Drosophila melanogaster: one gene and its partner. The protein of the gene in region 2 interacts with the protein of the main gene of each other region in a pairwise test. Each region holds a gene or a part of one and is shown on either strand. Other genes may lie near its edges.

Region 1 (14,429 bases), on a different chromosome or scaffold from region 2:
CTCGCTTGGATAGCATTCGCTGCAGCCTAGCGGATGCACTGCGTCCGCGATCCGTGGACGTGCTGCTCTTCAATCCGCCCTATGTAGTCACCAGTGACGAGGAGCTGCAGACGCAACAGTTCGATTCGCACAGCGAATCCTCAACGGATCGCAATCTGGTTTTCTCCTGGGCTGGTGGACAGGACGGGCGACGCGTCACGGACATTCTACTCAAGCAATTGGATGACATTCTTTCGCCTCGAGGCGTGCTCTACCTACTCCTGCTGCGGGAGAACAAGCCGGAGGAGATTATCAAATACTTAGAGGGCCTCCAGTTCCGGGCTGTTAAGTTCATGGAGCGACGCATTCCTGGCGAGCATTTGTGCATACTGAAGGTCACCAGGTACTTGGCATCATCATGACTCGTGCAATAGCATCAAATTAAAGTTGTATTTTAATTAAAAGATAAACTTTTTTAGGCGTTTATTCTTAAATTTGATACTAAATAATATGGAGAATAATTTTAATAAAAGTTGAAATAAATGAAAGAAATGGCTTATGAAACTTAAAAGCTCTTAAACTTTTAGAAATTTTTGCGCTTATATTTGAATTTGAATATAAAAGTAGCTCAACTTCATTTGCCCAACGAAGAGCCCGGAATTTCATCATTCGTTTTTTTAATAGGCATCTGCTAAGGCTAATCGATTTTCAATCCGAAAAAGGTACTTAATCAAAGGAAATTTCCGATTGAATTTTTCCATCATCCCTTAGTATATGATTTCTTTCATAGGGAGGATTGTGGGAACCAGCTCGTCAACCCCCGAACGAAAACTGGGATATGGAAGGGATGGATCGGAGTAATGTAGGGGCGGCCAATCTATGAATTATGTACCTACATACGTACATGCTCCTGGCTAAGAACTACTACCCCTGGGAACACCGAAGCGAGGTGATTGCCCCACCCAAAATGGCCAACTGCAATTGAAACAAACTTTTATTGGCATCGGAACAGATGCCAAATGGGTGGTATGTACGTACGGTTTTCGCTTTTACGTAATTACAATAATTTATTTCATCGTTCAAAATTGTTTCTTATTCTCGTTTTCGATTCGTGGTTCTTTTCTCTTTTTGCCCTTTCGCGCTACTAGATGTTATTCTCGCACGGAGCAGATACATGAGTAATTGGTATTTACAAAAATGCATAGTTCTTTAACATTGTCTGTGATATCGCTATTGTTTATCAGTTATCAAATCGGATGATTTATCTTGGGCATATTGGTTTAATTGCACTCAATTATTCAGTTGCTGGTTGGCATTACCAGCTTTAAGCCTCTTGGAGTTTGGATCTGGGTCAGTGGGTGGATTGTGTGTGTATGTTGGGCTGGTCTGTCTTTCCGGGACAAATCGTTTAGATTCGAGGATGGTGGTGGTTGGGTGGTTTCGGTGTCGAGTGCCGTGATTGACCAGCTGGGCACGATTCGTTTTGAAATATCAGTCGTTATATGTTTATATTGAGAACTCGTCGTACGGGGTGTGTGTATAAATAGTTTGGATGCCCTTACTAATTAGATACATGTAACATTAAAAGTTTATTTTCTTGCTCGTTTTTCGATTCTCGAGTTGGTTTTTACAATTTACAAATGAATTAGGCTTATCAACGACTCGCTCGCACAACTTATCAACAGAATAATAAAGCCCTCGCTTTAATACTGACATAAGTACTTAAGATTAGTCATAGTTTATAGTTAAATGCTGAAACGAAACAGAAGGTTAGAACTCAAACTTCCCGATGTTTTCCTTTCATTTTTTTTTGTTTTTTTTTTTTGTATTTGCCCCAAAAGCGAAGACCAACTAAGTCCCAGTGCCTTGGGTTTGGGAAATTCGGGTGACTGTGGCCACAATGGGCGCGAAATTTTTGAAACCATAGCTAAAACTTGAGTGTCATTGAATGCTTGTCGAGTATGGGGTTTCAATGATTTTTGCGATTTATTTAAATACAATTTTTATGTTTTATTTGTTTTGTATTTAATTGCATTTGCTGTTTCTTTTTCATGTTCATAATCATGTTCATTTTCAAATGTTCACTTTTGTATTTTTGCTTCTTTCGATCGATCATTCATTCACAAATGTAACGTCTAATTTAATAATGAATTTGAATATCGTGTGTGTGTGTGAGTGTAGTGTATCTGTGTTTAATTCGCGGGCTTCGTTTACGCTACATTTGAAATCTTTGTATATCTTGGTTTACGCATCAACTGGGCGTTTAAATTAGGACTTATGAGATAAAGGAAAGAAAGATTTTGGTTTTGTTTTGTTCTTGTATATAGTGGGGATGTTTACTTTTTGTTGGATTCCGTATAGGTTGCGTTTATACGAAAATGCCTTCAATTACAATTTTTGTTTGTTTTGTAGTTTTTTATAAAAAAAGTACACATAAAATACAATTAAAATAAGGTAAGAAATAAAAAATTATTTCTTAAACATAAAAATTATATACTTTTGCGATTTTTTTGTGGTTTTTTTCTCCTCCTCCTCCTCATTTTCTCCTTGTTGTGGTTTATTTTCTGCTTGTTGGTTTATTATTATATTTTTTTTGTTTTGTTTTTGCTTGTAACTTTTATTTATTATTAATTTAAATTTTTGTTTGTTTTTGTTTGTATTTTTGACTACATTATTATTACGCCTGATCGTCCGAGCCGGAACCGTCATCATTATCATCATCATCATCTGCGCGGGTAAGGGAAAGGGAAAATCCGGGGATTAGATTGATGTGGAAAAGGGAAGTGCTTCCGTGAACTCACCATCACATTCAATGTCATCCTCCTCACCATCGTAGGGGATGTCGTACTCGTCGCTCTCGATTTCACTGTCGCCCTCGATGATTTCCTCCAGAGCCTCTTCCTCATCGGAATCTCCATCGGCGGCCGCGGCCTTCTTGGCCTTCTTTGATTCTGCGGATTTGGCCTGGAAGCGAAAAAAGAGAAGTTAGTAGAGTTCCTTTGGTTTTTGTTCCGCTGATGATTTACTGTATTACAAGCAAGTTTATTGAACAGAAATAAGGGGCCCGTCACTATTAATTATGCATTTTTGATATTAATCTGAGAAACAAACTAAAGGATATTAGGGAGAATTACGGAGCGAAATGGTCCTACGCGCCCAACTCAAACCCACACATCTCCTTGATCAAGGGCATCCAATACCCCTCTCAACTTCCTGTGCGTGTGTACATAGTCATAAAATGTATATTTTCAGCACACAAAACAAGCAGCGACGAAAATCGTTATTTTCGCCGTAAAAAAACATTTGAAAAATGCGCGCGCCAATGTAATTCGCTGCGGCAAAAAGAGACAGCGGGAGAGAGAGTACGTGAGAGAGTGGATTACAAGTGCAACCGCGCTACATTACATCTGTGCTCCGTATGTACAAGGCGACATATTTACTACATAAGGGGGAAGGAAAAAAAAACAATAAGCAGCGACGCCGGCAGCGACATATGTATCCGCATCCGTGAGATACGAAACGAAGCGTGCCCTGTAAGATAGAGAGCGGGCGAGAGCGCCAGAGAGAGAGCATCTGAATCCGCAGCACTGTAAACTGTACCTGAACTGCATGAATGAATCTCTCGCTCTCACTCACAGCCATCCGAACGACAGCTGCTGCAGCGACGTCGGCAGCGAAAAAGGCGCAAAACAACAACATGCGTGGGTTTAACTTTTGCCGCTGACCAACCAACAACAAGATACACATAATGGTATATGGTTTATGGCAGTATATAGGCGGTCACGTTCCCAAGTCGAAGAGAAGCCGCAACACAAGGGCCCTATTTACCAGACTGTTACAAAGCGGAAGAAGCGAAAAACAATCGGACTGTGGAAAAATGTGCAAAATTAATGGCCACCCATCGCCCCCCTTTTTCACTTCGCTTACAGCATAAGTCACGAGACCCAGAACTCGAGAAAAGGCCAATAGAGGATTAAGACGAACAGGGTGTATCTGTATTGGCAAGAACTAAGCCTACTATTACTGGTGTTATAACTGGGTAATCAATGTATCTTGATTTAGTTAGAGGTTTTAGTTTGTGTTTTCTAAGCGTGAAGATACATTTATAGGGACAAAAGCTAATCTGTTGTTTGGAATCGAAAGATATGGAAACCAACGAATAATTTTCAAAACTATTCTTGAAATCTATACAATTCGTTACTGTACCACTAAGAATTATCCGTGCCAAACGTATCTCAACTAATTCATGATCATGGGATAATGATCATTATTCAATTGAATCCCGAAGAAACCCAACTAACTTTTGCGACACCCTGTTTAGCCGTCTTGTTTTATGTACTAAAATAAATACGCATAAGGCAGAGCAGAAAAAAAAGTGAAAGATAAATGTAAGCACATACGCAAACAGACAAAACGGTGTGTATACAAATTACGAGGGAGAGAGTTAGCAGCGCTCTCTATTTGTATCTATCTTTCTCCGGGGAGAGAGAGAGAGAGCGAGAGAACGCTCCCGTTAAACTGTACATTTTTATTTCGAGTTTGAGTCTGAGAAAAGCGCTTGATTTGCCAATTTATCTGCCTTACTGGCCGAACTATTTTATTTTTATCAAGAAATGTGCTACTCGATTATGGAATGCGACTGCTTCAGGCCCCCAAAACTTGTTCGAATACCGCGTGCTCTTGGCGATACTAACCAAAAATAAAGTGGCCAAACATGACATGAGTAATTTACCGGCCGGCAATGTGTGTTTTCATTGAGAGAGTGCATTGGCATCGCGCTGAATTGCGTTTGCGTTTGCATTTGCAATTCCCGTAGCCACAGCGACTGATAAATAAGGCCAAGCGTATGAGTTATAGACGTAATGCCACAATGTATCTATTGCTGGGTAACGCTGTTCAGCGGACACGTCAATGCTAATGACCTATGGGTTTATTAAAAACACATTACCCACCCCACCAAAGAAAAGGCCCTGGCTAACTGTACTCCCCGCCTATATAAGCACGGCGGCCCTCCTAACCTCGATTTGAACCTAACAACAATAATCTTTGATTGCCGGACCCGCAATCATCTTGGTTAATCGTAAACAACACAAACGCACAACCGAGCCAGCTATACGCTCTCTCTTTTGGGGGCATATGTAAGCCATTGGGAGAGTGCGCTGTTCCGAAAAACGTGTGTATATCTATTTCTAGAATTTTTCCTCGAACAATGCTATGCTACTGGCATATTGGCTTGGAGTGAATCATTAGAGGGGCCTCCTTTTGGTTTTACCGCGTAAACAACTACCTAGTCACATAGATCAGTACTCACTTCTGCTGGCCTCTTGGTGCCTTTCACGGATTCCTTTGCGGGGGCAGCGGCGGCGGCATCGGCGGCATCCTCGCCGTCCTTTGACGTACCGTTGTCGGCCGCGTCGCCGGCGGCATCGGCAGCAGCGGCCTTATCCTCGGCGGCCGCCTTCGCCTTGAGATCGTCCTTGACAGCAGACACATCATCTGCCGCCACCTTCTCCACGGCCACATCGCCGTTGTTCTGTTGTTCCGTAGCAGCCGACATATTTGAATTGGTTTCTTTGAGGTTTTCCGGAACTATTTAGTTTCTGCGTTATATAGAGAACAATTCGGGTTGGTTTTGTGGATTGTCTTGTTGTTGACAAAAAACCAGCGCAAAATACTCGGGGAAGGCGAGAGAGAGACAGAGAGAACCGCACCGAACGAAGCACACAAACACACTGAATGCGATTCAGCTGCGGGCCGTCTATTTAAGCACTGCCTCTCGAGGAGAGAGTAACTTTCTTTAAACGCTCTCGCTGCTCTCTTTTTCGCTCTCCCCGAAATCGTTACGACGCTCACTCGCTCTCTCTCTCCCACGCCATTGGCCCATACAATACACTCAAAAAATCGCCGCGGCATTTGTACAGCCGCAGTCGATAAGACAACAACAACAGCCCAGAGCAGAGCGATCGTTGGATTTTTGGTATATTATTTTGCGGTGATTTTCTGATAATATAGTATCTATATAGTAAGGCTTTAGGAGGTGCCATATATCAGGCGGCGCTACGGCAGGCAAAAGGATTTACTCGTAGGCCCCACTGATGTATGGAATATCCGTTTTCCTTTGGTTTGCTAACCACCGATATGTGCTCCCGTCGACGGTTCGTACAAGACTGAGCTTGCCGTCCGTTCGATGGCTAGAAATTGCCGCTTGCTTCTTCTTGCGCCAAATCGGTTGCAGACATTTTTGCCTATAACTTGAATACCTTTGTTCGGATCGGTTCAGAGACTGATCGAGGCTATAGCTGGTAGTATCCGCTTAATTTTGGGCTTTTTCCCGAGGCGCTGCGATCAAAACTAGATCCGCAAATGACAAGTTGAGTGGGTTTCCTGATTAATTCCATACAAAATCTGCTTGGGTTCCGTGAGTACGGTTGTGGGCGCGTTTGGCGGTAAATTTGAAAATTGCGCGCGCCAGTGGTGCGCTTGTGGGCCTGGGGGCGGGGTCTGGGGGTTGGTAGCGGCGATGGTGGTGTGTGGTGTGTGTGGTGCAGTCACTCTGTGGCGTTCTGACCGTTCGTCGGTGGAACAGAACAGAACAGAGCAGAACAGTGGATGTGGATGTTGCCGATGGGAAGAAGTGTTGCAGCATTGTTGCCGCAGATGCAGATGTGTGTGCTGTGTGTTGTATTCAGCACGGTATTCGTATTTATAGAGTGGACCAGCGTGGGACGCAATGTCGTCGCGGATTGGGGTCAATTGATTGGTAACGTGTGGGGAAGCAGGTGATTTTCGCGGACCAGGAAAGCGGGCAGCTATTTTTGAGATTCTAACTATTTAGATGCACGCAATCGGGGAAATGCTCTATTCCGGGATTATGCGTCTTAAAACTAGAATTAGAGAACTGGAGAAATAGCAAGAAAACAGCAATTTGCAACCCCATAAGATTCGAAAACATTTAAGGGTTAGTTTTCGAAATCGGCAATTTCCAGAAATATTAAACATCCTTAAGTCCTAATGGCCCCACCAAAGACTTCGACTTAAATGCCAATGCCTATCACTCGTCGAATTGGGTCCACCCTTGACTCTTTTTTCATGTGCCAATCTTTCTGTTGATCCCGCACTTGTGGTTCGACCATTTGATGGTGATGGCTTCGTTCGCCGCACGAACCCAGTGGGTTCAGGAATCGCCCAATATATGGGAAACTGGAACTGCCGAGTAGGCTATAACATATCGCCCATATCACCTGGTAGTCAACGTGCTCGAGTTGTACTGGCTCTTCTCTATAAATCTGTGTTATCAGTGGGACAATCACTGCGAGGTTGATCTTCAAGTTCATTCAAAATGTGCACATTAACGAGCGGAATAACAACCCATAAAGTAATACTAGAGGAATTCGACCGGAAGACATAAGGTTCTTGGTGCTATTTCCAGTAGCCTATCGACGAAAGGGTAATAACTATCGTTTGCCGGGTATCCAACAGTCGAGTTTCGATTGGACAGCCTCTCACGCTTTCAGCTATTTTCGTGCGAAAGCAATGGCAAATACGAATACCTAGGCTATATATCTGGTAATCTGAATAATACGGTCGACGACAGAGCGAGCGGACGACTGTCGACAGGCGGATCGCTAATTAAAACCGGCGAACATGTTCCGCGGCATCCCAACCGAGGCGGCATGGTGAACGTAAACACCTGTAATCGTGGCCCGTCGTCCACTCAGTTATCACATATTTGAGGAGCAGCGATGACTTTTTGCCTGAACATCGCTGCCTGATAAGCCGATTTGCGTCTCCATTTCGCTGTGCTTCCATGGGCCGCCTACCGTTCTTCTCTGGCTGTCACTGTCTCACTTTCCGTCCGCCGAACTCTCAGTATCCGTTCGAGTGGCTTGACGCTCGTCGGCCCAAGATTGGTGGGTCTCTCGCGATACGAATAGTCGTGCTCATCGGGCTTGTGAGACCACCTCTCGGTGTTGAACAATGGTATCTAGATTCCTGAGGACAACCTGTGCCAATTTCTCGAGTTATCGGCTTGGTTGGTACGACCGTAGTTACTTCAAGGTTAGACAACGGTTTCAAATGCAGGCAACCACCGGGTAGGTAGGATCTCAAGCAGGCAGAAATGGATGGATGGTCCTGCTTCCCGGAACCCAAACATCTGTCGATTCGGAAATTTTATGGCCCTTTCGAACACGAAACTAACGCAAGGGATTTTTCCCCGACCGTTGTCGTTACTGACCTGCCTCAGGAATTTCTCCCAGTGCACTTACACGTTGTTGCGTCATTAATTTGCTGTAGCATAAAGGTGCGAACAAATCTCAATGCAAACACAATCGATAGCCAGACGCTTCAGCTAGCATGTGTATCTAAAACACACACATCAGCTTGTATTCACGGCGATTAAGTTTTTCGCTCTTTCAGCTTAATGCGGTGCTTAATAGATTTCTTCTAATCGGGTTGTTAGGCTTTTCAAAAACGGAAGTTTCAGTTCTTTTGACAGCTTTATTTCGATATGATATCATCGATAGCATGGTAAACAATGTATGAAGAGTAGCGCAGCTCACCGTTCAGATACAAAACCAATTGTAGCGCATACGAATAGCCACCATAGGCTGTCCCTTCTAGCGCTTAGGTACCCAACAAGATGGCTGGGTGGAACAACATGAACAGGTTTACGACTCGATTAGAGTGATTGTTAGACTGTTGCTAGATGGGCGATTCGCTTGGTCGCTTGGCTGTTGTTTGGCTGCTTGACTCTCTGGATTCTTGATCTCTAGCGCTAGCACGTCATCGCCGTCGCCGTCGCATTGGACACTTTCGGAGTCGGGTCTCGTTTTCCCGGCATGTGCTAATGTTTCCACACGAGTGCCGGGCCACATGGACGCGACTCGACCAGGTATATGTACTGGCCCGGCTCACCTGCTCGCCTGCGTTTCACCTGCGTCAACGGGCGGTTTACACGCAATTATTAAAATGAATTTAAGCAGCCCCATTGTCTTCGATTTCCAATACCACCTGACCCAGCAGCAGCGCCGTGGTGTCATCACCAGTGGGTACCCGGGTCCTCGGCGGTGCCTTAATTGCGCAGAGCACCACAGCCGTGACGTGTGAGTGGACATTCTTCCGACGGCTGGCTGAAGGATGAAGGAGGACAGCCGCTACCACTGCAATGCTGCATCTGAAGTGCCCCAAATAGGCTTATACGCACCCCAGTCTCCCAGGCAGCCACCCAAAACCCCATCAGATATGGCAATCTATCGATTATTTTAGTGATGTGCTCACATTACAATTGGTCCTTTGGGCAGATTAGTTCTTTGAAAACCCGCCACTTTGGCTAGAAAACCCCCGAATGGCCAGCAACCAACCCAACCTCGTTCGTTCCCATATACCTTACTTTGCCATCTGCGTCATGCATTTCGCTGCACTGAGCACTTGTGGTGGGTGGTGGTGTTCCGTGTGCTGGGTGGTGGGTGGTGATGCGGTGGGTTAGCGTTTGGTGGTGCCAGTGCCGAGTGCCGCCGGTGGTTGCTTGGACCGCCGGAGATGAGTAGAGATACAGAGTGGGCAACAATGAATGAATCATTGGGGGAAGAGGCGGAGCCATCATCATGGCATCATAAGCGGAATCCGTTTGCACAGTCAAAATAAAACAACGGCCACCGAGAAAGATTGTGTGATTTGACTTTGTTGGCCTCAACAGAAATCATTTATTCAATAATTACATATTGACATACAAACATCAAAGGGGCGGCTGTTACATACGGTATGGACATATGTATGTACGTCGTAGATTATTATTATTTATTAAATTTTTTTTTTATTATTTTTATAAATTAATTATAAATTTTTATAAAAAATCACTAATTCGGACTTTCAGTTAAAATTTAACAGACATTCAAGGGTGTGGAAGAAAAAAGTTCTAAGGGGTTAAAATTTATTATAAAAAATTTATTAAAAAAAATAATTTTTATATGTATTTAAGTGAAAATATTATATGAACGGTTTCTATTTAAGTTAATATAAAAAAAATTGTATACTGTAAATAGCAAATGATCAATTAAATGATCTAGTCAGAATATGCAGACATTTATTTTGTTAATTTTTAGCATATGATTATCTATGGACAATATTTAAATATTATGAAAATAATGATATTTTAAATAATAGATTTTTAAATTTTAGAATTGTGTGGCCCCTTTTCGACACCCTTGGAACGGATGCTTCACAGCACTGTGCTGACAGCACTTACCAACACTGCTTGGGCGCCAAATACAGAGTTGCATTTGGAGAGTACAACTTTTATCCAACTTTCGAACGAGAATACAATCCGATACCAACTTCGGACTCCAAAATAGGAGTATACCCAGCTGGATCCTGCGCATGGCACCTACCAATCGGCGGAAAACCGCTTGCCACGGATTGACGCCCTGGAAGTGGAGATGCAACCCTAGCAGCTCACCGACAAAATGACCTTGCGCTGACATTGCCGCACAGCAGTTGAGGACGAAGAAGATTCGCGGAATCAGTGGTATCGCAATCCGGAGTTTGCTAGCACGCACAGGAAGTATCCAGAAAATCCAGAAAAATCCAAAGATGGCCTTCAATAAGCTGAGCATCGAAAACCTGGACTTGGCGGGCAAGCGGGTGTTGATGCGGTAATCCAAAGCCAATCCTCGCGTGAAATTCAGTTGCATAAACATTGCCCGTGCTTCTTTGCAGCGTCGACTTCAATGTGCCCATCAAGGAGGGCAAGATCACCAGCAACCAGAGAATTGTCGCTGCCTTGGATAGTATCAAGTTGGCCCTTTCCAAGAAAGCCAAGTCGGTGGTGCTGATGTCCCACTTGGGTCGTCCCGATGGCAACAAGAACATCAAGTACACCCTGGCACCCGTGGCCGCTGAGCTGAAGACCCTGCTTGGCCAGGATGTGATCTTCCTAAGTGACTGCGTCGGCAGCGAAGTGGAGGCCGCTTGCAAGGATCCCGCACCGGGATCCGTCATTCTGCTGGAGAACGTCCGCTTCTACGTGGAGGAGGAGGGCAAGGGCTTGGATGCCAGCGGCGGCAAGGTCAAGGCCGATCCTGCCAAGGTCAAGGAGTTCCGTGCCAGCCTGGCCAAGCTGGGCGATGTCTATGTCAACGACGCCTTCGGCACTGCCCATCGCGCCCACAGTTCCATGATGGGCGATGGCTTCGAGCAGCGCGCAGCTGGTCTGTTGCTGAACAAGGAGCTGAAGTACTTCTCGCAGGCCCTGGACAAGCCACCAAATCCCTTCCTGGCAATTCTCGGTGGCGCCAAGGTGGCCGACAAGATCCAGCTGATTGAGAACCTTCTGGACAAGGTCAACGAGATGATCATCGGTGGCGGCATGGCCTTCACCTTCCTGAAGGTCCTCAACAACATGAAGATCGGCGGTTCCCTGTTCGACGAGGAGGGCTCCAAGATCGTCGAGAAACTGGTGGAGAAGGCCAAGAAGAATAACGTGCAGTTGCATCTGCCAGTGGACTTTGTCTGCGGCGACAAGTTCGCCGAGAACGCTGCCGTCAGCGAGGCCACCGTGGAGGCCGGAATTCCCGATGGACACATGGGTCTGGATGTGGGTCCCAAGACCCGTGAGCTCTTCGCGGCACCCATCGCACGCGCCAAGCTCATCGTGTGGAACGGGTAGGTGTCACACTGAAGCTACTTCTCCAAATGTCCTATAATGGTTTTCCCATTTTAGACCCCCCGGTGTCTTTGAGTTCCCCAACTTCGCCAACGGCACCAAGTCCATCATGGACGGCGTGGTGGCCGCCACCAAGAACGGCACCGTCTCCATCATCGGCGGCGGCGACACTGCCTCTTGCTGCGCCAAGTGGAACACGGAGGCACTCGTCTCGCACGTCTCCACCGGAGGCGGCGCTTCGCTGGAGCTCCTGGAGGGCAAGACACTGCCAGGCGTGGCTGCATTGACCAGCGCCTAAGCGTACATATATACGGTATATTAATGTTAATCGCATCGTTTACCTTGTAAGCACAAACCACGACGTTAAAAAGTGTTGAATCTATTTGTTGCGGAACCATATAATGCATACGAAATAAAGGAATCCTAGTTTATTTGCGGGCAAAGTTGCTGTCCATTGAGGAGGCGGTGCGCTGTATGTTGTTGAGATTGGCCCGGATGCGATCGCCAATTGAGTTATGGTTGGCAATGGCCTTCTTCACCTCCTTGTTAATGAACTCCTTGTCGAAGTCTCGTTCACGATTTTGGGCCTCCTCGCGCGCGTATGCTTCTCGGTGCTTGCGAACCACCTGGCTGCGATCCGCTTCTCTCCAAGTGGCGTTGTCCATCATTTCGCGCAGGCGAGCTTCTCGGTCGGCTTCGCTTAACTTTGGCTTGCCGGTGGGACGGCTGGGAGGCGGTCTTTCGGCAATCCTTCGCTTGTCATCTCCTTTGGAACTTCGGCTCCTGCTGCGTTTTGATCTGGAACGCTCTTCAGGTGTCCTACTCCTGCGTTTCTCGCGCTGCTTTGAAGTGTCCTTGCTTTGACGTCTGGCTTTTCTGTCCTCTGGGCTCCTGGTTCTTCTCTGTCTTCTCGCTAAGGGACTTCTGCTCCTGCTCCTGCGCCTTTCCCTTCTCTCTTCTGGACTCCTTTGCCTTTGCCTTTGTTCCGGACTTCTACTCTGTCGCTTTTTTCTATCCCGGGGGCTTCTACTCCTGCGTCTTTCTCGCTGATTTCTGTCCTCTGAGCTGTGGCTCCTTTTGTGCTTTCTCCTTGGCTCTTCCTCTTCGTCACTACTTTCGTCACTGCTATCGCTGCTTTTCTTCTTCTTGGATTTCTTGCTCTTTTTCTTCTTGGTGGCCATGTCTAATTGATTTGAAATGGTGCGGTACTTGGCGTCCAGCAGCTTGTCCAGTTTAAGGTCACCTTGGTCTCCCTTGAGTTTGCTCACTTGGCGGGCTAATTTTCTGTCCAAGTCATCGTCGCTATCATTGCTCTCGCTGTCACTACTTTCCTCATTGCTGGATCGTCGGTTCTTCTTCTTCTTTTTGGATTTCTTAGACTTTTTGTTCTTCTTGTTCTTCTTCTTTCCCTCTGCGGCCTTTTGTTCCTGTTCAGTCTTGAGAATGCGATGGATTTCCTTCAGCTTGACGGGGTTCTCAAGCAGCTTTCGACGGGATTCCATTTCGCGCTGCTTGATGAGCATCAGGGGATCCTCGAGGGTCTTGCGCTGTATGTCCACCTGTTCGTTGGACTGCACATTGCGGTAGGTCCGGATGGAGAAGGGCACACAGTCGTGCTCCACATGGTTGATCGTTTGCTTGAGACCCACTGTGTTCTGCTCCTGGCGGCTTTCCTCCGCTTGCAGCGTCTCAAAGGACTTGTCGATCTTACGGCCCAGGAGGTACTCCTCGCGGTTGATCAGCTCTGTGCTGTCTGGAGCAAGATAAATATGTATGGATAATGAGTTTTATAAGAGTTTCACATGTATGACTCACTTTTGTACATCCACTCCAGCTTGGCCTCGCCGGCGGCTCCGCCATTATTGCTCAGCACTCCGGAACTTTCGCCCAATCGCCTTAGTTCCTCTCTGTCCCGCTCCTCGTTGATCTCCTTGCGCAGATCCTGCAGCTTGCGCTCCTCCATCTTCGCTTGCTCCTCCGCCTTCCAAACGCGCTCCTGGTTTTTCATCGTGTGCGGATGCCATGATTTCTTCAGATTCTGCGGGAAAAATCAATGGTAATTGACGGATAATCAGTTGGGAGACATTACTTACTAGATCTCCGCCACCCATCTTGGGTTTGATTTGCGTTTTAACAGCAAAACAAACAAATTACAAACAATTCCAGATTTTCCCTCCTTTTCTGTTGTTTTCAACAAAATCATATGTTCGCCCGGGCTGCCAGATCGTGGTGAAGTAATTTAACTTGGTGTTGCCATAGGGTTACATTTTTCTTTTACTTTTTCGAAAATTATTGAAAATAGTTAATTTAGTTACTTATTTTCATAATTACTTCCTCATCGTGCATTGTATTTTCAGTCAAAAACAGGTAATAAATTTATTTAATATGCTTCCAATTCGGCAGAGTTTATACCAAAGAGCTCAAACTCGATTTACAAAATTAAGATTTCCAAGATTTTTTAGCAAAGACGATTGCAATGGAAAGCAAGTAAAGAAGTTGAGCTTAAAAAATGTAGATGTGGCTGGGAAAAGGGTTTTTATGAGGTGAGTATCCTTGCCAGATATGTTTTAGTGTGTGATTTATAAATTTATTTTTAGAGTGGACTTTAATGTACCCATGAAAGATGGCAAAATAACCAACAACCAACGAATTGTTTCCGCACTTCCCAGTATTAAATATGCCTTGGACAAGAAATGTAAGTCCTTGGTGAGTTGATATATCTTCCTTCAATTCCTAAAAAGTATAGAACGAATAACTTAATTTTTTGCCTAGGTTTTGGCATCCCACT
Region 2 (13,954 bases):
TGCGAGCAGGGCTAAAGCTAAAAACACTTGCATTCTTGAGAATTCACCAGAGAATTGTCTGGAATATTAATTGATCCCGACTCTAGTATACTACCTATCTTTTCGAAGAATTAAACTGTTCTGCCGGCTCAATAGTCCGATTGCTTTAACAACAACTTTCTATGGGTGAGGAGATAACGCCGCCGTGAAAAACATCGGTATTAATCGGTTGAAGAGCTTTCTAGTTTGTAATAAGAGCTTATCAAAGTTCTTTGCTTTTTGTCATGGTAGTATTTTATTCTACAAATTATTCGCAATTCTATGTAATCCGTTAACATTTTCTTTTATTTAAGAATTTCTTTATTAGAAGAAATATCTTTTCTGTTCACTTACTGAAGAATTGCTTCTTTATTTTAATAAAATATCATGTGCTTCGATTTTGTAACTTAAGAGGTTTAGTTTGATTTTGCAATATTATTTTAAATATCGATAGCAATTACAATTTTTATTGCGTGCACAGGGTGCACATGATTATACAGATATTTTATACATCTAGTGTGACCAAAGTGCTGAGATTAAATGTTTTTTTTTTTAATTTAAAATATTGGATGCACTTCTTTCTGGCTAAGCTTTCAATAAAAAATAATCGAAAAAACCGCGAATGATCTAATATTCAAGATTAAAATAGAAAAATTTGTCAGAAAAAAATAAAACCGTGTCTAGGGATCAAAATCGGGATTGGAAAAATTCTATTTTTAAATTCGTTAAACAGCTGACAGTCAGGAGGTATAGATAGTCACTCATCTGTCTCATCACAACGACTCTCTCTCGGCTCTCTCTTCCCTTCTCTCTGTGTCTCAGCGATATAAAGTCTCACCCTCTCTTCGGAACTTGAACCTACTCCAAGTTTTGCTGCATTGCGCCCGCTCTCAAACCGAACCGATAGTCGGACAGCACGGGATCCCGAAAGGACCCCGAGCAGATGTCAAGCTACCACCGAAGGAGCAGCATCGTCGTCGTTGTCGTCCTCGCCCACACATCGTTCTTTACCGTTACAGCTGTGGGTTCGGCTCAGTACCGTTAAGTTCGCCAATCGCACAAGTTCGATTCCCAAATCGCATGGTTTTTTTATACCAGCAAGAACTAGACAACACACAGATATCTGGTAATGTTGTAAGACGTGGATTAATGCAAACTGCAAACCGTACAAGTGCGCCGTACAAGAAAACGCAATTAAAAGTGCATTAAAAATTAAACGAAAAGTGCTTGTGTGTGCGTGCCAGTGAGGCAAAAAGTTTTGCCTGCGCCGAATTGGCCAAAGTTAAATGTTTTAAACGCCAAGTTAGGCGAATTATGTGAAAGTTTTAACGCGATAGGCGAAAACAAAATGTTTCTGTAATTGGCGGCGGAGGAAAAGCAGTCCGAAAAAGGTAGCAACGTTGCTGAAAATGAAATCAAACTTTGATTTATCGCTGATTGGTTCCTGATTGGCTGTTTTGGCAGGCCTTTTGAATCCCCACACAAAAACAAGAACTCCCAGACGAACATACATATACATGATCCATCCACATACATAGGTACTACAATACAATACATATGTATGTACATAGCTGTTGGCGTTTATATGTATGTGTTTTTGGTTCAAATCTGTATAGTATTATGGGCATAGAGGAGCATTTCCTGCCCTTGTCACAGTTGTTACATTTTCTCTATTCCGCCGCTCACCAGCTCACACAGTCGGTCATCAAAAAGTCAACAAAAACAATATAAATTATGTTCGTGGAAAAGCACAAGCAGCAGGATGCTAGAAGACCTTGAATGCCTCTTAAGGTGTAATTGGATATTGACGTGGAACGAAAATTGCATTTTGAGCAAGGAATAAGAGCTTCTTTGTAAAAGGATTGTTTGTAATATGAAGCATATTTGTTTTGGCCTTTTAGTGGAATGAATGTGATTCAATATAAAAATACTTTTGACTTCGTTTTCTCTCAATTTTTAACAAGAAATAGTTAACCATTTAGTGTAGATAATCAAAATCCTATGTGCGAAACTAGAGAATCATTTATTTCTCCCTAAAAGAGAAATATGTAAATAGTAACGTCGTATCCATTTAAAAAAAGACTAGTAAATTTAATTTTTAAATAACATTTACCTAAATTCCTGGAACCAAACTGAAAGGCAAAACTTTCTTATTTATGAGCCCTTTTCAAAAGTTTGCCAAAAAACATTTTTTAATTTTCTCACGTTTTAATCTCTCGCAAAACTGGCGAATAGTTCGTTTTGGTAGCATACTTTTACGGGTCACGGAGTCCGTAACTTTGAATTTGTGGGAATCAAAATCTGTAAGGCCCAGCTGACTTGGGCCCCCAGTGAAAGACAAAAGCCAAACACACACACACAAACACTCATAGGCGCGCGCGCGTGTGTGTGTGTAACCAAAAAATTATAAAACTTTTATTACCTTAGAGCAGGACACGTTCCGAAGGGAAAAACGGAAAGTTCTAAAATATATTGCATATACGTATACACGTGCATTTGTGTGCTGCTCTCTCTCTCTCTCGCTCTGAATGTGTGCGAATGTTTTTGTGTGAATGTGATTTGTGTGCGTCTGCGGGTCCTCTTTCGCTGTGTGTAACCTACATTTTAAACGGCATCGGCATCGGCGACACATAAGAAGCCAAAAGCCGTGGCCGAAACCAAGTGGGCGGGAGTCTGGGGGCGGTGGGGCATTTCGGCGTATGTAAATTTGCCTTTATCAGTGCCTAAAAGTAGGACCCCCATACACACACGCACACGAGTGCAGTTTCCGTAAAGCCCTATGTACCGCTAGAAACAACGGTACTCTCTAGGGGCAGGCGCACCGCTCTTCCGCTCTCTCCGACTTGCTCCTCTCAGAGAGGAAGAGAGGCAGAGAGCGGGCCAAGCAAGCTTCGGCGATGCAGAATGCAGGATGATGTTTGCGTTCGTTGCTTCCGTTACCGTTACTGTAACGGTGCCCCTCTCCCTTCGGAGAGGTTCTGAGGTATATCCTAGTACACACACACACACTCACACACAGGAGCAGCAGGATGTGCGTTCATTCACATTGGCATTGCAAGTGTGGGCTCTCAAAAAATAAGCTATTTTGGTCTACATGGAGTGAAAAAGGGTTACAAATTCAAAAAGGAATGCGAATATAAAAATGTATGTACATATAAAATTTTGATTTTATGTTCTCTTATTAATTTGTATTATTAAATATGAAAATATTATTTTGAAATACAGAATAATAAGGTCAATTAAAATAAATAAATGTGATCCTTAAATACACATTACGAAATCAATAATCTAACTAGATTCACACCGAAAACGTAGCGAACATTTTTGATTCTGAATGAAATGAAATTTGTATTCGCAACACCCTTTTTAACAGTGTATGCAATGGCCACTAAGCCCATGCCAATCCCTTTCGTTCTCGACTGCCCTTGTTATTGGACTTGCATTTCCGCTATGGCGCTACTTGCCCCAGCCGGTTGAAATTTATATGCAAAGTGCTGGAAGGGATTGCATTATGCACATTTTAATGGTTTGCCGAGACATAAAAATATCTCGCACTTAAATAAATTGCTCTGCTCTTTGCTAGTTACTCGCTCACTTTCTACGAGTCCTTTGCCCCTATGCCGCCCCTTGTGCTGCTGACAAAAACGCCATCGCTTATAAACGTGTCGGTAATTACATAAACATTCTGCCCACCGTCGGGTTAGAAATATGCACGTATTTTTGTTTGCCAACTAAATGCCTTGTTAGAGAAAATTTCTTTGGAGTGAGCAAACTTTTAGTTTCCCTGCCCTCAGCCACTTTTTGCCGCACCGAAGGAATGGAAAATAAATTGCCCTCGAGAAAATGCAAATTGTTTTTCAAATTATACATCCACAAGGAGGAAGTTTATGTCTTTGTTGGGCGTTTAAGATTTTTATCAAAAAGTGAGCAATGTGAAAAATTTTCAAAAGTTTGATTTATGTGCTAAATATTGCAAAAGATATCAACTTAGAAGAGATATAACTACACTCATGTATAGATTGGTTAGTATAGAACTATTTAGCTAGTAAAGAACGATAAAAATATGTATGTGAAGGAAATGCTCTAAATATTTATCCATATTTCACAAACATGGACAAGATTGTCTCATAATTGAAAAGATTGTTTGCGAGACCTATGTAAATAAATGGTCGTCATTTTTAAATTTCCAATTCATTTAGCCCCAGTCTGTGCCCCATCTGATTTGCATTGCAAAACATGTAAATGTCAAAAGCAGTATCTAAAATGTGACGATCTGTTCCTCAAAGGTGCCCATCAACGTCAGCAGCCACACCTACAATCTGCATATATCGGGCACTTGCCATCATCATCACATCATTGTGAGTGCTAACCAAAGCAACACCACCGACCGCCATCATCCTGGCCGTTATCATCCTCGGAGGCAAACACATATTCCATTATAATTCCCGCCGCTGTGTCCCACTTCATATCCCACTTCTGGCTATTTTTATGCCATTTCTGCATTGTTCATTGTTTAGCGCACATTATCGCATTTTCCTCTTAAGGCATCAGCCACAGATATTACAGCAGCCTTATCCTCCGCTCCCACCTCCCCTCTGATTCCACGTCAGCCCATCGCCTACAATTGCCAATGGTGTTAGTGTGGTGTAATACCCTGTAAAAGCTTAGCTAGTTTGGCGGATCCTGAAATAGGATACTTATAACATTCAGGATCAAAGCTGTTTTATTATTATAATAAAAAAAGGATTTTAACAAAATAAAATTATATATAAGAATGTATAAATCAAATCAAAGTTATCCACAATTTAATGCAACTTTTAGACATTTGCGTAGATAACACCAAATCTAGTAGATACATAGAATTTTCGATAATTTGCAACCATTTCCTGCTTGATATTGTTATTGACTGGTCATCCCAACCTAAGATTCCCGGCGAATTCACAAATCGGTTCATACCCTGGTGATCTGGTGGTGGGGATGTAGGGTGGAAACTAAAACGATGATTCAGATTGTTGCCACACTTGGCTCACTAAGCGGCCCAGCGGGTGCCACAAGAGGAAACATCGGTGTGTGAGTGTGGTTGTGTCTATGGATGTGTGCTTTGCCGCCACCAGCACACTGGAAGATTGGATCTCTCTCGGGCAAACACAAACACTTGGATGCGGAGTGGCTTTCATCTGGGCCGCAGTGCACTGGATACACGGGATTTCTGTTGGCAGTGCCACTGCCAGAATGTCGGCATTGAAATCGAAAACAATGGTCCCATTGTGGTGGCCGATGGCGCTACTCAGGCTCCTCCCTTTTCGTTATCCTTTCGCCATTAAACAATTGTCGCCTGTGCGCATCAGTAATTAAGTGTCCCTGTGCATTTATGTCTACTTGTATGAGGGCATAATTACTATTTATAGATGCTATTGGCTTACGTCTAAATAGAAACACAATGCGCCAAAGCGCTGGTAAATGTAAATGTGGGCGCCTAAAAATATGCAGCAAAATGCAGCTGACTTTGGTAATACTACGCCACTAGAACGATTTATACTAATCTGGCTGCAGAGACTTGTATATAAACCACAACAGTTTATTAAATGAATGTTTCGTTCAAAAAATTTTTTTCCTTTTAAGGAATACTTGATTTTTAGTTGGCTTTCGATTTTAAGTATTCAGAAACGATTTGTAATGATTAGTTTCTCTCCGAAGAAAGATCATTTAAGCCCTCAAATACAAAATTGTTGTATATTTTGGATTAATAATGTATATTTTTGGTAAATTACAAAACGTCTCCTTATCTTTGTATTTTTATATGGATTTTTTGTACAGAAAACAACATATGAAATATTCCCAGACTAATGTAGATTCTACAAGATGTCTCTTGGTCCTCTTAAAAGTTTGATGTAAAAACTTTCAGTGACTATGGGGAATTTATCCTTTTTTCGAACTGCTTAGCCTGTGCGTTTGCGTTTGTTGGCGGCAGTATTCGCCTTCTTCTTGGCTGCCACAGGTGTCTTCTTCTTTTGGGCAACAGGTGTTTGCTTCTTGGCAGACGCGGCTGCCGCTACTTTGCGTTTGGGAGCAGCGGTGGTGGTGCGCCTGCGCCGTCTAGCTCTGCGTGCAGCAGTTTTCTTGGCTTTTTCTGCCTTGGTTGGAGTTGAACTGGAGGTCGTTTCGGCGGAGGAACCATCTCCAGAAGTTTCTGAAGAACTACCTGTATCGGAAGCTTCGCCGGAGGAACTGTCCTCGGAGGTACTAGCATCATCTTCTGAGCTACTGGATGCACCAACACCACTTTCCGAACTGGACTCTACATCAGAGTCGTCATAGTAGTCATCACCATAGTCGTAATAATCGTAATAGTCATCGTCAGTGTCATCAGCACCCGTTACGAAGGCAACCAATATGGCCAGGCTTAAAACCAACAGCAGCCTCATCTTTTTTTTTTTGTATCTATAGAGTCAACGAACAGATAGGTAACCTTAGGTATAAACGTCTGAGTTTAAAAGTCTTCAACACTGGGTATTTATAGTTTTTTCTCCTCTGAAGAAATTTATAAATATATAAAGCTTTTTTACATTATTTTTCTATGTACATCTGTAGAATGCAAATATTGGTTTTTTAATTCATCGTCTTAATTTTCGGTGGCTTAGAGCACCTGTGTGTGCTGCTTGTATTTGTTTAACATTTTTCGATTGCTATATGTTGAAATTATGAAATTATATTTTGTGTTAGAGCACGAAAAAGTAATATAAACTCTTTTATATTAAAAGAGCCAAGGTCACAAATGTCTTATCTGGATTTTTGAACAATTTGTCTATGGTTTACGCGTTAGGCGACCTGCTAGTAGTTTTATAGAAAAAATAGATATGACATTAAACGTCTTTAAAATTATATAATTTTTCAAGTATATGCGGTGTATGTTTTTGTTTATCAAAAATATATTTATTTACAAATGAGGGAAAAAACACGTGCCGATAAAAACTTATGTAGAATGTTTTCTTGTCTTTTGAACATTGGGTGAAATAGTTAAATATATTTCAAAATTTCTGTGATATTCAAGTTTTGTACAAAATTCATAATAATAAACACCCATACCCAACAACCACATTCTTGGTAAATATCATTATCATTATTATATATTAATTCAAAACCTAACTTATAAACGTCATAGAAAAAAATCTTGGTAATTTTGGGAACAAATTTTTTTGGTATAATTTTTTATTTTTATAATTTGTAGCTACGAATATAATAAACTGGATTTATCCAGAGCGCCTACGTTTGTTGGGTCCAGCATTTGCCCGCTTCTTGGCGGCAACAGGTGTTCGCTTCTTAGCCGCCTTCTTGTTATTACTTTTCTTGGCAGCGGCGGCATTGCGACGTTTAGCTGCTGCCTTATTCTTGTTGTTCCTGTTGTTTTTCCTGGCACCAGCTCTTTTGTTCTTTTTGACAACTGGAGCAGCAGTTGGTGCTTCCGTAACATCGCTAGAGCCCTCGTAGTCGTCATAGGAATCGACGTCCCCAGAGTCGTTTCCACTGTCGACGTCAGTGGAGCTATCACTAGTGTCTCCAGAATCAGCAGTGTTGTCTTCGGAGCTACCGGCAGTATCGTTGTCATCAGCGTAATCGTAAGAGTAATCTCCATCGTCAGACGAATCAGTTGTCTGGGCCACAGCCACGTGGGCTACGAAGACTGCCAATGCCAGAACCAGAAGAAGTTTCATTTTCGTTTTGGGGAGATTTTGTGATCTAAACGAAGAAAGCTCAATCCTCTGGTTTATATACCAACATATCAGTCGAATCTCGTTTTTCATGAATCAAAAGTAAATATGATTAAACAAACACACATTCGTTTACTTTGGGCCAGCTGTGTAGATGTTTTTTTGATTATCAATTTGTTTTAGAAATTTTAGATAATAATATTAGCCCCTGGTGGTTACCTGTAAATACTTTTATAAATCAAGTAGATATATAACGTTTTATGTTGTGGAATAAAATAATATATTGTTTGTCGTCTACAATATAAAACGAACGTTTATAGATCCACTTTATCTACACGCAGTTAAAATTGCGTTCACTTTCAGAAAACGTTTTCAAACGCGTAATCTACGTGATTATTTAATGTGATGGCACGCACTACTCATATTATTTATGGTTATTTTAGTGAAAGCACAAATTTATATGTTTGACCTTTTTCCGTGCAATTTCAGCTCGGGATAACGAGCCGCGGCAGACCGAAAGAGGACCAACCCAGATTCGCAAAGTTCGTGCCATAAATCTGCAGTTTGCATGGAATTAATACCCGACTAGAAGGCGGCGGCAGACGTGCAGCGGTGCTGCACATGCAACACACATTAGTGGGTCACTCGAAGATGATGACGCTGCTGACCGCAACGGCAACGGTAGAAGTAAAACCAACAAAAACAAGCGCCACTCGAGCCGATTTGTGGCAGCGGGGGCAAATTATATAAAATTATCATGCAGGGCAGGCAGCTAGCTAGTTGGCCACTTGACAACGGCAGGCGGGACAAGGCTAAACATCATCATCAGGAGCAGCAGCAGCAGCAGCAGCAGAAGCACCACTACCATCACCACCAGCACCAAAAGCAACAACAGCGGCCGGCGACGTATACGTAATGTGCAGCATGACGTATACGTAATGTGCACCGGGGTTTGGCCAATTTGTCCAAAGCGAGCTATAAACCACTGAGGCAGCGGAAACGCAAACCAAAAACCGAAACTCGAGCTGCAAACTATAACATAAACTGAAACTGCTAACGACGCAAACGGAAACTTCTTGGCCAAATGGCGAAAGTTCGCAAACAATTGCGAATGTGTTGAGAAGCGGCTGGCGGTGCGAAAATGACAAAATGGCGAAGTTAACGTTGCCTTGTCTACTGCGGCGACTGCAGCTGATGGCGCAACAACATCAAAAACAGCAGCAGCTGCATCCACACGGCTGCCACTTGATGGCCATGCAACTGGGCCAGGCCGTGCTCCTCTACGGTTGCCTTCTCCTGCTCCACGCCTCCGTGTCCGCCTCTGTCCTGGCCACGTCCTCCGACTCGGCCGCCATTCCGATCCTGCTGAACATCTCCAGCACGATGGATCTGGATGGCGTACCGCAGCAGCAACAGCATGAGCATACCGAGAAACGCACGCGGAAGCGTGATGCCGCCAATGTGCCTGATGATGACGACTATGGCAGTTATCCGGACGACGTCGACGAATTGGAGGCCTTGCTTAATAATAAGTCAGGTGGGTTCGGGTTCAAAAATCACTACATTTTATTTTAAAATCTATTTTAAAGCTATTGATAAATATGTTTAAAGAAATCCCAAATTCTATAACTATAAAATAACTTGCATGTATTTTCGTTGTACATATAATTCCAATTCTGCAGCTTTTATTTTTGTTTAAATGTATATACACACCAGTTACTTAATTAAGTCCTTAAATACAAGTACTTGCTGTGAAAACTTATCTGTGCGCCGCTTTGTTTAATCCCATTTCGTAAATGAATATTTGTGGCTGCTGCACTTGCGAACCGAAATAAATGGAATTTTTGTTGATAATGCACTTGGCCGTCGCTGCGTTTCGTTAGTTTGCATTGACCTTTGCTCGGTTCCGGAGTCCCAAGTCCAAAAACCGCCGAGATCATGAGAGCCATAAATTGCACAACATCCAGTCGCCATTCGGGTCCTTTCATGGTTGTTTGTTTAACTTTTATTTTTGGCACATCCTGACCACCTGGCACCGCATCTGCCGCAGCAGCTGCAACTGCATGATTCACGGTCCCATCCATTTTATCTTGGCCATGATGCGGGAATTACCAAATACGAAAACACACGCTGGTAGCCCATTATAAGTTTTTCCAAAAAAAATAGTAGGAAAACAGCATGGATGTGCAAACAGATAGAATTGTGATTTTAATGCAATTGATATTCGGTGTGCAATTAAATATTCAATTTTGATCCAATTTGCATGCCAACGGCAAGCTGATAGTAACATTTCATATATGCATATTTGCACCTAATATGAACATTCAATTTATTTCTGACAAATTTGGTAATTTGCGTTGTTAATGTGCCAGCCTATAATATTTGATTCTAAGAGAATTGCATTTGATATTTGTATGAAGACAATTAAATTTTATGATTTACGGTTGAGTAAACACTCTGAATTCTGATAAACGTACGAAATATTTTACCACATTTGATAATCTGTTAGTAAATTACTCGGCACATTTCTGAAAAAAGTGCATTGTAAATTCAATTTATAACTTGTACTTGTTACAATTGTAAAATATTATAGTTTCACACTTTATTAGCAAACATGTGCACACATTTTTTTCCAACACCAATTGATTTTAAATACCAATTAAGAGGAATATTCAAATAAGGCTGCTCTACATATATAACACATTTGCAAAGCTCAATAAGTCCTTAAACTGTGCAAAAGGCTTTTGGTCGTTTTGATGGCCTGACATTCATTTAATTTGCATTCTTTTAAAGATGGCTTAATTGTTAATGCAAATTGGGTTTGCGCATTGCAGCTAAGGGGAAATATATTGGAGCGCCGTGCAACGAGCTGAAGTGTGACGTCAAGCTGCTGCACGTATCCTGCGACAAGGATTCGCAGACCTGCAGCTGCGAACGCAACTACCCAGTGCAACTTGGACTGATAAAGGGTTGCGCCAAACGTAAGATATTGCTATTGCTGCTCAGCATATAGATTAGATATATATATATTGATTGCCCATATTAATTATTCACAGCTAAAAAACTGGGCGATCAGTGTTTCTACGACGAGACCTGCATCTACAACGATGAGAACTCCCTTTGTGTTCAGGTGCGGCACAATGCGATGTGCCAGTGTGCCAGCGGATTTCACTCAGTCAGCTACGTGAAGCCAACGCGCCGTGTCTTTTGCACACCAGGTAAGGTTTTTCTTACTCAAATTAACAATTTAAATAGTTCTAATATGTTGTAACATACTTTGGAGCGAGTGCAGTATAAGTAGCATTAGCTACTGTTACCTAAAATCATTATGCTACCAATTATGCGACTATTTATGTTTAATCATTTTATTTCTATAGATCTCAGCGAACTGAGCTCGGATCTGCCCACCTTGTTGGGCGTCTCCACGGGCATCGCAGTTCTGGCCGGGCTCATCTGCATGGTGCTGCATCTGTTCAGCAAGACGAAGTATCCGCGGCATCGAAATTACGGAGATGCCAGCATTCCGCCGCCCATTCTGTACTCCAGCGATACAGGTGAGTGGTTCAAACAATTCTCAAATGTCCACAATGTAAAGTCCTTTAGTTTAATTTAAAATAAATATATAGATTTCTGTTCTTTTCGTAGTGAATTAATAGCATAACAATTCAACCTTTCTCTTAATCTGTAAACTGGAATTAGTTATTCCCTTTTTGACATTTAGTGATCTCCATTATATATTTCTTTGCTTTGCTTGAAGTTTGTACTGATATTCAGCTTACTCATAAATGTATGACCTTGTTTTCAGGAATACCGCTTACCGTTCACTCGGCGCGTCCGTCGTCGCGTTCCAGCATTCGGTCGACGGGATCGATTGGCTCCTACGGCAATCGACGCGCCTCGGCCGGCGGACTGGGCGGGGGTGCCGCCGGAGGCGTGGCAGGCGGGGCCGGCGGTGGAGGGGCGTCCGGAAGCGGCGGCTCGAAGGGCATCCTGGTGTCGACGTCACGAACAGGTGCGGCTAGATCGGCCGCCATATTGCTCATATCGTGTCACATAGCGGCGGTGTCCAAACAGAATTCCCGGGCCTCGTCGCGGCACACATCCGGAGCGGGCTGCAGCCAGCATTCGCGGGACGACCTGGATGATGGTGGTGGTGGCGGTGGAACTGGCAGTGGGAGTGGTTGCCGCAGCTGCGAGAGCACGCTCTCGATGAACCGCCACCTGCAGAAGCAACTGAACCACCAGCGGCATCTGCTCAGCTTCGAGCTGTCGCCGGCGAGGTCGAGGAATCAGGATAGATTTAGGACATTATTGGGCATGAATGGCATTGAGAATTTTGGGGGCAATGATGATGAGGACGATGAGTGCGGTCCGCATAGCATAGAACCCAGCACGACAGTCCCTCATGCACATGATGCCCATGCCATTGCCCATGCCGATAGCGATCCGGCTCATCCTGGTGCTGGTGGTGGTGGTGGTGGTGGTGGTGCTGGTGGTGTTGGTGGCTACGGCTACAGCTACGGCTATGGCCATGTCGGTGTGGTTGGTGGTTACGGCGATGCCGACACCAATGGCGGCGACTCCAGCGGCGGATTCGCCACTGGCGCCGAGCTGCATCACCTGCAAATTGGCGCACTGCCCACGCCGGCGAGTGAAACGCCACGATTTGCGGTAAATCAACTCAAGCATCAGTCATCCCGCATCCATTTGTACGATCGTGTGGTCTGCTCATTCCCATTCGCATTCCGTATCGCCATGTCCATGTCCATGTCCATACAAAATATAGAGACACTTCCACATCACAACAAAAACAAGGTCAACTATATGCTACTCGTATCTGTTCAATGGTTGCATCCACTCCTGGTTAGAGATCAATTTCAAAGTCTGTGCTAGCCCTTAGTTTGTATTTTCATTTATCTATCTCTAAACTCTAGATCTTTCAGTCTTTAGTGTACGATCTTTCAATTGTTGAATTTGTACATTTGAATAGTACAGACAGTATATTTGAATCATTACTTTATTTTTACCATCTATTGTTCTGTGAAAAATTTAGATATTCTATCAGATATTATATATCGCAAATAATGTCCTTACATATACATTTAAATATCGTATCTCTTTAGTATACGAGGAAAATGCAAATGCTAGACGCATTTTAAATTAAGTACTAACAAATTCGTACAGTTAAAAAGCATGGGAATCTGTAATTCAATTAGAAGAGCAAAATTCGGCGAATTGAATTTGATTACATGTTTTATTGTTCATGACCCGGAAAAACTCGAAAACGGAATACATTGTGGCTCATTTACATTGTTCAAATGAATTTCGCCCCCCCTTGCATAGTTATCAGAATTCGTATTAAAATCATGTCTCATGTGCCATAATTAAATCGCGCAAATTGAGTTATTCACGTAATCATGTATCGTTAATTCAGCTCAGTTTATTTACAGTTGATATTTAATTTGTGTACATTGGCGTTGGTTAAACCTGTCCCCCTGCTTGTCTAATTAGTGTTTAAATTGACAACTCTGTCTAGTTAAAAACGATAAACTTATAAACAAATTTTACGTTTCTTGATGATCGATGTTAAATGTGCTTCCGAGCTCCCTCTGTTTCCAAATACCAAGTTGTTAAATTGTTTTACTTTTTCTATCGTTACCAAGACACACACATACACACACACACACACGAACACAACGCAAAACACGCGCACAAAGCCACAAACTAATTAATCAAACTGTTAATGTTATTTAACGAATAACTAATGTAAAGGAAATGTTGTTAAAAAATCACGGATTCTAAGGATGATGAGTAATACATTTCGACAAGATGATATTGAAGCAATATGGCGGTGACTATGTTCATAGAAATCCTAACCAAACTAACACGAAAAACAATGTAATATAGCATAACCCCACACGATTTTCTAGCTAATATATTCAACTATTGCAAATTACAAACAAATTATACCACTCTCTCTCACATAGACACAAGGAACACGCACACAATTGCAATTGCATGCATCCTGCCGGCAGCTAAGGATACTTGTCTGCCGTCAGGATTTTCTACGTCACTCAACCTCCGGCTGACCTTTGCCTGAACTTATTCGGTTGAGTCCTTAAAGCCCTACACACACACGCATACACACACACGTATACACAGACACACACAAATCGATAAACGATATGAAAATTTTCTTCCATATATGTTAATCCCGCAACTCTATA

What was found.
Region 1: the proteins of CG9040 (region 2) and Bacc interact in a two-hybrid assay, tested with the Drosophila melanogaster proteins (one large-scale study listed by BioGRID).

The regions. Positions count from the first base shown.
Region 1 is NT_033779.5:2,744,522-2,758,950, reverse strand, and holds Bacc (bacchus), read right to left. Parts: upstream 6,507-14,429; 5' UTR 6,111-6,506; intron 5,957-6,110; exon of another isoform or gene 5,883-5,956; intron 5,719-5,882; exon of another isoform or gene 5,580-5,718; 5' UTR 5,537-5,579; coding exon 5,291-5,536; intron 2,944-5,290; coding exon 2,781-2,943; intron 2,707-2,780; coding exon 2,657-2,706; 3' UTR 1,031-2,656; downstream 1-1,030. Other genes in the region: HemK2 (HemK methyltransferase 2), read left to right, coding at 1-401; Pgk (phosphoglycerate kinase), read left to right, coding at 10,570-10,631, 10,696-11,640, 11,699-11,939; Cwc25, read right to left, coding at 12,070-13,394, 13,457-13,679, 13,735-13,752; CG9961 (uncharacterized protein), read left to right, coding at 14,027-14,184, 14,239-14,347, 14,414-14,429. UniProt on the Drosophila melanogaster protein: Negatively regulates tyramine beta-hydroxylase tbh and thus the conversion of tyramine (TA) to octopamine (OA).
Region 2 is NT_037436.4:13,980,431-13,994,384, reverse strand, and holds CG9040 (uncharacterized protein), read right to left. Parts: upstream 6,508-13,954; 5' UTR 6,444-6,507; coding exon 5,958-6,443; 3' UTR 5,759-5,957; downstream 1-5,758. Other genes in the region: CtsK1 (cathepsin K1), read right to left, coding at 1-33; CG17362 (uncharacterized protein), read right to left, coding at 7,269-7,730; CG17364 (uncharacterized protein), read left to right, coding at 8,877-9,264, 10,562-10,708, 10,784-10,945, 11,105-11,281, 11,533-12,620.